Ovis aries: one gene and its partner. The protein of the gene in region 1 binds, or shares a complex with, the protein of each later gene. Links are inferred from orthologs where the notes say so. Each region holds a gene or a part of one and is shown in the gene's direction. Other genes may lie near its edges. The genes, in order: AAGAB and AP1S3.

Evidence for each region.
Region 2: the proteins of AAGAB (region 1) and AP1S3 are in contact, whole or in part, in a crystal structure (PDB 9DDT), measured with the Homo sapiens proteins. The link is inferred for Ovis aries from reciprocal best matches to the Homo sapiens genes AAGAB and AP1S3. Residues at the interface, in NP_078942.3 of Homo sapiens: Asn51, Lys52, Tyr53, Tyr54, Glu108, Val109, Met110, Ile111, Gln128, Ile132, Gly135, Phe136, Glu137, Asp151, Phe153, Pro154, Glu155, Arg161, Gln164, Ala165, Asn167, Ala168, Asn169, Val170, Met176; in NP_001034658.1 of Homo sapiens: Arg10, Gln11, Lys13, Arg15, Gln37, Leu40, Ser41, Arg61, Tyr62, Ala63, Ser64, His85, Val88, Asp92, Phe95, Val98, Glu100, Leu101, Asp102, Ile104, Phe105, Asn106.

What each region holds. Positions count from the first base shown.
Region 1 is NC_056060.1:14,007,650-14,011,455, reverse strand, and holds part of AAGAB (alpha- and gamma-adaptin-binding protein p34), read left to right. Parts: intron 1-1,420; coding exon 1,421-1,503; intron 1,504-2,330; coding exon 2,331-2,427; intron 2,428-3,806. UniProt on the Homo sapiens protein: May be involved in endocytic recycling of growth factor receptors such as EGFR.
Region 2 is NC_056055.1:226,006,407-226,010,757, reverse strand, and holds the start of AP1S3 (AP-1 complex subunit sigma-3), read left to right. Parts: upstream 1-1,402; 5' UTR 1,403-1,429; coding exon 1,430-1,540; intron 1,541-2,322; coding exon of another isoform or gene 2,323-2,355; intron 2,356-4,351. UniProt on the Homo sapiens protein: Subunit of clathrin-associated adaptor protein complex 1 that plays a role in protein sorting in the late-Golgi/trans-Golgi network (TGN) and/or endosomes.

The sequences.
Region 1 (3,806 bases):
AAAAGAATTATGTTGATGTTTGAACAGACACCCGCAGGCTCTGTGAAACCATCAGTGTGGGACATCACACGGATCTGCTTTTCTCAGCCTCTGAGCCTCCATGGCCTGCCTTGATGAAACCTTAGTGTCTGGTCCTTGGATGGGGGGCATACCCAAGCACTGGGCCTAGAGAATTCCTCACCAAGTGGGCAGTTTGGCTGAGGGGTGAGGGGGGCTCCAGGAGTACGTGTGCACCTTTGGCTGTGGAGCAGGGAAGGCAGCAGGGCAGCAGCAGACACTTGGTGCCGCCTAGTGCCTTTGTGGCCTTAAAGCATAGGTGCTGACTCGGGTAGATACCTGCCTGCAGTAAGTAGGTGACTGCCCACGTGGTAAGAGGTCAGCCTGGAAAAAGCTTCAGGTCTAGACTCCACGGGCCCCAGTCGGGCTCCATCCCAGTTTCCAAGGCAGACCTCCCCAAGTAGCCTGCAAGTGCTTGTCTGTCTGTGGTGCTCTGTGTGACTTATGACAGGTTTCCCCCAGTAGGGAAGAAGACCTTGAAAGTCTGTAGGTGGTTTGAAGAGAGTTGAGAATGGAGCCAGGGAAGCCACAGGAGAGGAAAAGTGATGTAGGAGGAAATTATCTTTTTGAGAGAGCAGTTCTGTGACTTCGGTGCTGCCAGCCTCTTAAATTATGGGTTTCACATTCTGCTCTCAGGCAGTGATTTTTTGTTTTGGGGGCTTTTTATTGTTGTTGTTGTTTGGTTTTCCCTCCAGTTTTCCTGATCCTAAGGATATTCCTGGGCTTCCCTGATGGCTCAGTAATAAAGAATACACCTACCAATGCAGGAGGAGGTGCTGGTTTGATCTCTGGGTCGGGAAGATCCTCTGGAGAAGAGGATGGCTATCCTCTCCAGTGTTCTTGCCTGGAGAATTCCATGGACAGAGGAGCCTGGTGGGCTACAGTCCATGGAGTCGCATAGTCAGACACCACGGAGTGACTAACACTACTTAATAAATGCAAATACTGAAAGTATTGGGAACCTTAACTGAATTAAACAGAGCTTAATTTCAAGAAAGCATGAATGTTCATTTTCATCTGGTAATGATGCCTTGACGTTGATTGATTCTTTTTAATGTTTTTCAGTTGTTTAGACACTGAAATATTTGTTCATAGTAGCTATTAAAACATCAGTGCTGTTAATCTTTGCAAACAGAACTACTGAGCAGCCTTTTGTTATAATGGCCCTGCCATATATTTGATCTGGACTAATACGCCTTGATTTCAAAGTTATTCAGAATTTAGAGGGGTTTGTAATTAATAGTAACTTTTTTATAGCTAAAACTTTTATAGCGAGGAAATAGCTATCATATCATCATCACAGTCATTTTAACAGCTTTAAATGTAAATAAAACATTTCACTGATTGTACTTTTTCTCTTCAGAGAGGAACCAAGGCCTTAACCTTCTCAGCTCATTGGCTGGAGCAAACCATAGCATTGGATCAGCAGAGACCTGCCACTCAGAGGTAAAGATTTTTCCTGGATCGTTTCTCTGCTTTGGCCTTTCTTTCTTTCTGCTCATCATCATGAGTCTCTACACCATTCATCGTCTTTTCCTTTCCGTTTAAGAAGTGGTAGAGAATATCAGAAATGGGTACCAGGAGTCTGCTGTCTGTTAAGAGCAGCCTAGGTTGGCATTAAAGCAGTAAGCCCTTTCTGTTTACAGTTTGGGCTGTTCCATGTGTTTTTGCTAGAGTGCTTTTAAAAACATGCTAGAATTTCCTTGAGGCTGAAGTTTCCCCCCAGATCTTCAAATATAAAATAAAAGTAATGGTTCTTTTAAGCACTTCCTGTGTGCTCTCCAGTCTGAGGAAGGCCCTTGTCCTTAATGAGCTTAGAGGGCTGGCTTCAGCCCTCCGTCCACAAGGACTCTGGCCCATGTCTGTCCCGGCCGGCACGCTGGAGTCATGAGCGCGGTATGTAGTGCTGCGCTGTCTGCCCAGGGCCACCTTCTTCCGTCTCTGAGCTCTTTTGTGATGGGCTTGTGTCCGTTTTCAGGTTTTAAGTAAAACGTGATTCAAAACAAAACAAACAATATGTTTTTAATAGTCAAAGGCAAAATCATAACACTTTTCTATCCCTGAGGAAAAACAGCCCCAAGTTAGTGAATCTCTGGCCTTTTTTTTAATATTATTTATAATGTGACCTTGATCCTTCTTCCATCCCTCCTTGTGTCTCCCTCCTATTACTGCTTCTCTAAAGCTGAGCAGCGAGTGGAACTGTGAGCCTTTTTGGAGTTGGTTTGGAAGCAGCCTCCTGTTAGATTGTGGCTCGTGTGTGTTTTTCTCCACAGCAGCCCTGTGTGCCAGCAGCAGAGAGGACCGAATCCCTCTTGGATCATCGAGGGGCTGCTTCTAACACAGCAGACGTGCAGGTCGATAGCATTGTGGGTAAGTGCTGTGTGGCTGCCAAGTGACCGCTCTGTGGAAATTGCCAAAGCCCATGCATTGGGGCACAAATCATGCAAAGGGAAACTGACTCTAAACAGGGGTAAGGGAAGGACATTGACCGTGGTTATTGTTTAGTTGCTCTTTTGCGACCCAGTGGACTGTAGCCCACCAGGCCCCTCTGTCCATGGGATTTCCCAGGTAAGAATACTGGCGTGGGCTGCCATTCCCTTCTCCAGGGGATCTCCGTACCTAGGGATCGGAACTTCGTCACCTGCAGTGGGTCCTTTGCCACTGAGCCTCCAGGGAGTCCAAGGACGTCAGCACTGACCCCCAAATGAATGTGAGCCTTGTGGGCGGCTGCAGAAAAGGCAGGGAGAGTAAATACATTATAGTACAAATCCGTGGGCACCACTGATTGGCTCAGCAGGATCTTGATTAAGATCTGAGTTAAAGTAGATCGAACCAGGTGGTGAAACAGCTTTATATCTCCATATTCCACCATTTTTTCATGGTATTTTACGGTAGTCAGAATTGGTAACAAGAAGAATATAGTCTTATAAGCCCTCTCATATTCTTTTAAAGTTCTTTTATGTCCACATTCTCATTTGGTAATGAAGTTTGGCAGATAAGTTACTTTACAGAGATGAAGGTATGGCCCAGAGCAGTTTAATAACTTGTCCAAGGGCATCGAACAAGAAAGTCTTGGAGCTGAAACTGAAATGCAGTTTGCTGTCCAAAAAGCTAGAAGGCCAGGGCACTTAGTTGACAGTAACTCTAAATGTTCTTTTGTTAGGAAACTACTCACATCACTAATACTTTAAATGCCACGGAGGGCCCATGTGCAATAATAAGTCTTAAAAAAATTTTTTCTGTTTATAAAATAATCCATAAAGAAAACTCAACTAATTGGCTATAGAAGTATATTAAGAAGAAAAAATTGTGTATAACTTCATTTCTCTCCGGTTTATTCAGTCTTGTCCTCTCGGTCGAACCCTTCATATTAGCTTTGAAACCTACCAAAGTCTCTGCCGTGAGAACAAACTATTGACCACACTGAGTGAGATGGGAGGATAAGAACTGACCTAAAGAACCTGGGGAAGTGGTGTCCGGACTGGATGCCGTGAGCCAGAAACAAAGAGAACTGAGCGTAAATCCTACACTCTGCTTAACAGACTTGATTCTTACAGGGATATGGGTTTGAAATTCTGAAAGTAAATATATTTTACATATATTATGGTTGAAAGAATAAGAAAATGTAGCATAGAGAAAGAGAGCTAGGTTTCTCACTGTCGGAGAAAGAATTTACTAAGAAGGAAAGGTGAAGGCTGGGTTGAATCCTTTGGTACTGAACTAGAATTGAAGGTATCAGTATGAACTCT
Region 2 (4,351 bases), on another chromosome or scaffold:
TCCTGCCCTGAATCATTCCCAGCATCAGGGTCTTTTCCAGTGACTTGGCTCTTCACATCAGATGGCTAAAAGTATTGGAGCTTCAGCTTCCGCATGAGTTCTTCATGAATATTCAGAGTTGATTTCCTTTAGGGTAGACTGTTTGATCTCCTTGCTGTCCAAGAGATTCTCAAGAGTCTTCTCCAGCACCGCAGTTTGAAAGCATCAATTCTTCAGTGCTCAGCCTTCTTTAAGGTCCAACTCTCATATCCCTATTGGACTGCTGGAAAAATCATAGGTTTGATTGTGGGACTTTTGTTGGCAAAACAATGTCTCTGCTTTTTAATATGATGTCTAGGTTTGTCATAGCTTTTCTTCCAAGGAGCAAGCGCATGGGGTATATGGAGTTTATATCTTCAGGTCACCTGGGCTGGATCACACCGTACAAGGCAGATCTGAGGATATTCACCAGTTTTGATTTCCAGAAACCACTCAGGCAAAGGTTCTTAACCTTTTCAGGGTCACAGATCTCTTTAGGTATTTGCTAAAACCAATCGACTCAACCAAAAGAACATGAAAATGCACTCAAAAACACTACGTACAACTTAGGGTTTGGAGACTTCTAACGTCCCAGGTGGAAACTCAAGGCTTAAGAAAAACCAAGGGGAGAAGAAGAAAGATTAGGAAGTCCACGCCAGAGTCTTAGGAGAGAGTTCTTAAAATCGGGTCTGCTTAAAATGACCTATGTTCTTGGATTGTATACACACACACACACATATGAAGAAAAAAAAAAAAAACAACTCGGCGGCAAGAGATCGCTTCTGGTTCCGGCTCTACCAAATGCTCCCTCCCTTACTTGGTTCAGGAGAAGACAACCAGTGACACTTCCTGCCGCAAGTGTCTGAGGAAATCTCTCAGCCAGGTCTAATCAACGTTTGCGGAATGAATGAAATCACATTCACGGCGCGGGTGAATCAGGAAAGTAGCTCCTTTCGCGCTCCCTGCGCAGGGCTCCTCAGTGCGGAACCCGCGGAGCTCTTGGTGCTCCGCGCACCGCAGATCAGGCCGGAGGCCGAGGTCCGCGCGCAGGTGTATTCGCACCTAGGGCCGCCCGCGCGGCGCGGCGCGGCGCGGGGCGGGGCCAGCTGCGGCGGGGCGGGGCCATCGGGGGCGGGGCCATCGGGGGCGGGGCGGGGCAGGAGGAGGGAGCAGAAAGCAGGGCGTCGGGAAACGGAGGAGAGGGGAGGAGAAAGGAGGGTGAGAAGAGATGAGGGAAGGGAAAGAGCGGGAGGCGGGCGAGCAGGAGGGGGAAGGAGGGAGGTGCGGGGGCCGGGGGGAGGAAGTGCGGTAGGGAGGGAGCGGGAGGAGCGGGAGGGAGGCAGGGCAGCGGCGCGGGGCGGAGTCTGCAAACTTTCGCTTCGAGAGCATTGTGGGAAGCAGCCATGGTCTGATGCCGGCGCCTCACCTGTCAGCCGCGCCGGCTCCAGCGCTCGCGTCTCGCCCTCGCGTCCCCCGCGCTCGTCCCTCGCCGGCCGGGGACGGCGGCGGCCCGGCCACCATGGTGAGTGCGGGAGAGCTGGGCGGCGGCGCGGACCCCGGCGGCTGTGTGCGGGCGCCCTCCCCAAGCACCTGCCGCGCTGGGCCGGGCGCGCGGCCGGTAGGGGAGCAGCCCGGTCGCGCCCCGCGGTCCCCCACCCCGCCATCCCGACCCCGGCCCGGGACCCCAGGGACCCCAGCTCGGGTCCCTCGCGGCCACGGGGCGCCGCTGCTCCATTCATTCGACCGTTTTTGCTGAGCGCTTAGTCTGTGCCAGGCGCGGTGCCAGGCGGCGGAGACGTCGTGGGGACCCGGTGGAGCCCTGGCTGTTGGCGGCTTATCTTCTAGGAGGAGGATGTGGAAGGAGGGAGATGAGTAATAGACCAGTAAAATCGAAATAACTTCCGAGAGTAAGTGCTCTGAAGTCTCAAGTACAACCGGAGGCAGGGATGGAGAGGCAGCTATAAAAGAGGGGCAAGAAGCGAAGGCCTCCCAGAGGAGGTGACATCTGAGCTGTTGGAAGTCCTAGGGGGGCATTGCAGGTAGTGGGAGCAGAGAGAGCAAAGGCTGGAGAGGAGGAACCCTTGCTTCTAGTGGGACAGGTTGTCAGGTACCAGATAAGAAATCCTCATAAGCCCAGTTAAGGGGTTTGGATTTTATTCCAACCGAGTGGAGGGGGACCAGTCTGCACTGATCCAGTTGAGAGATCCTGGTTGCAGTTGATGGAAGCAGTAGCTTCAAGTGCCTCTCTCGTTCTTGCTTTCTGTTCAGGGCAGGTTTTTTTTTTTTTTTTTTTTGAGTATGCAGTGGCCTGAACAGCACCGAGTTCCACTTCCCCAGGTGAGCTCACGTCCCAAATCAAAGGAGGAACAAAAGTGACCCGCACTCTGTACTTGAGTACTCGCTGCAGGCGGAGCAAGAAGGCCCCGAGGGTTACAAAAGTTGATGGACAAGGAGGGCAGCGGAGTGCTGAGCTCCTGGTCCAGAAGATCACAGATGGTGGTTCCTAGGTTTGGCTGCATAGACTGGAGGCACCATTGTTGTTTGTTGAGGGTTCCTTGTAAATACAGCATGGTGCAAAAAGGAACCTGTAAATAATGGAGCAACTCTTCTGGCTTGCTCAGGTTTCTCAAGGAACACAGTGACATATGTGCAGCACACTGCACCGTTTGCCTCATGAAGAATGGAATGAGGCCCTGGAGTTTGTGAGTTGCAAAAATCTTCCATCCAGAAAGCTGGTACAAGTTCTGGACAACACTTGCAGTGGAGTTTTATTTTTTCTTGCTGGTGTCAATGATGAGTTGATCAAAAATGTGCAGTGTCTCTTGTTTCTCATCAGACCTTGCCCAGTGGGAGATATTGATGTTTTTGAGTGCTTGTGATAACCAACTCTATCTTCTACCTTCATGATCTCAGTTAGTTCGTGCAACATCCAACCAAATGAAAGTATTATGCTCTTTGCATTTTACCTGCTCTGGCCTGTCCCAGCAACATGTCCTTGGATCATGCCTTGACCTCTCTATGCCAGTTTGCTCATTTATAAAGTAGGGATAATAATTGATCCTAACTCATAAGGCAGTGGTTCTCAAACTTTGGTCTGGGTACGTTTAGGAGTCCCCAAGGTTTTTTAGAAGTCCAGAAGGCCAAAACTCTTTTCATAATAACACAAAGGTATTATTTACCCTTTACACGTTCATTCCTACATGAGTATACGTGATGTTTTCTCAAGGTTAACCTGACCTGGGAGAGTGCAGCAGAGTGAAGGCAAAGGCACAAGGCCAGTCCAGCTGTCTTCTATTGAGCCAGACTTTAAGGAAATTTGCCAAAATGTAAAACAATGCCATTCTAATTTTTTTCCTTTGGAAAATATTGTTACTGTTCATTAAAGAGCTTCTGTTAATGTGTAATAGGTTGATTATAGTTTTAAGTGAATTAATAAATTCATGGGGTTGCAAACAGTCGGACACGACTGAGCGACTGAAGTGAAGTGTAATAAGTATCTAAATTTTTTCTGTGCTTAAATTCGCAATACAGTAAACATCAATACAACTTACATAAACAAAAAGTCTTTGGGGCTGAAGTTTTAAAAATATATATACGTGTTTTGCTTTGTTGTTTCATTTAATTAATACCTTATTTTTATTATTTGGGGCTGAGTTTTTAAGAGTGAAAAGAATCCCAGGCAGGTTCTGTGCATGAATGCAAGTGAAAGCTGGTAGACCAGCTTTGCCCATTGTAAGTGCTCAGTGACTGTCACTTCCTATCTTTTATTACTGTCACGTGGCAGAGAAGCATAAGTGGCCCTCCCCATTGCCCAGCATCTCTAGGCTTTTTAGTGAGGATCACTTTGTGACTCCTTGTTTTTATTCTGCTTCGTTCCTGACTCTTGCTGCTAGGAAACTAGAAGATGCCCACAGCATCTTGCTGGTACCTACACACAGAAAATGGTCCTTGGTTCCACTGGGCTAGTGATCTAGATTTCAAGGGCAGAAATTTCATACACTTTGCATCTAGGAGCAGTGCTTATAGCTGGGTAGTTCTGTTTGCATCAACTTTGTACTTTTGCACCCTGCCTTTGTTTTAGAAATCTCTACCTTGGGAAATAAAGCTAGGGTTGTTGTGTTTTCAGAGATCCCCACTGGCTGTGAGACCACTGCACTTAAACACTTAACTGGGGAGAATTTACTATTGCATGGTTGCCAGTGTTGATGGAAGAAGGAGGATTTTAAAACTTTGCTCATTTATGTATTTGTTTTCCCTTGGACAGAGGAGCCTGGTGGGCTATAGTCCATGGGGTCAGAAAGAGTTGGACATAACTTAGACCACCACTGTCACC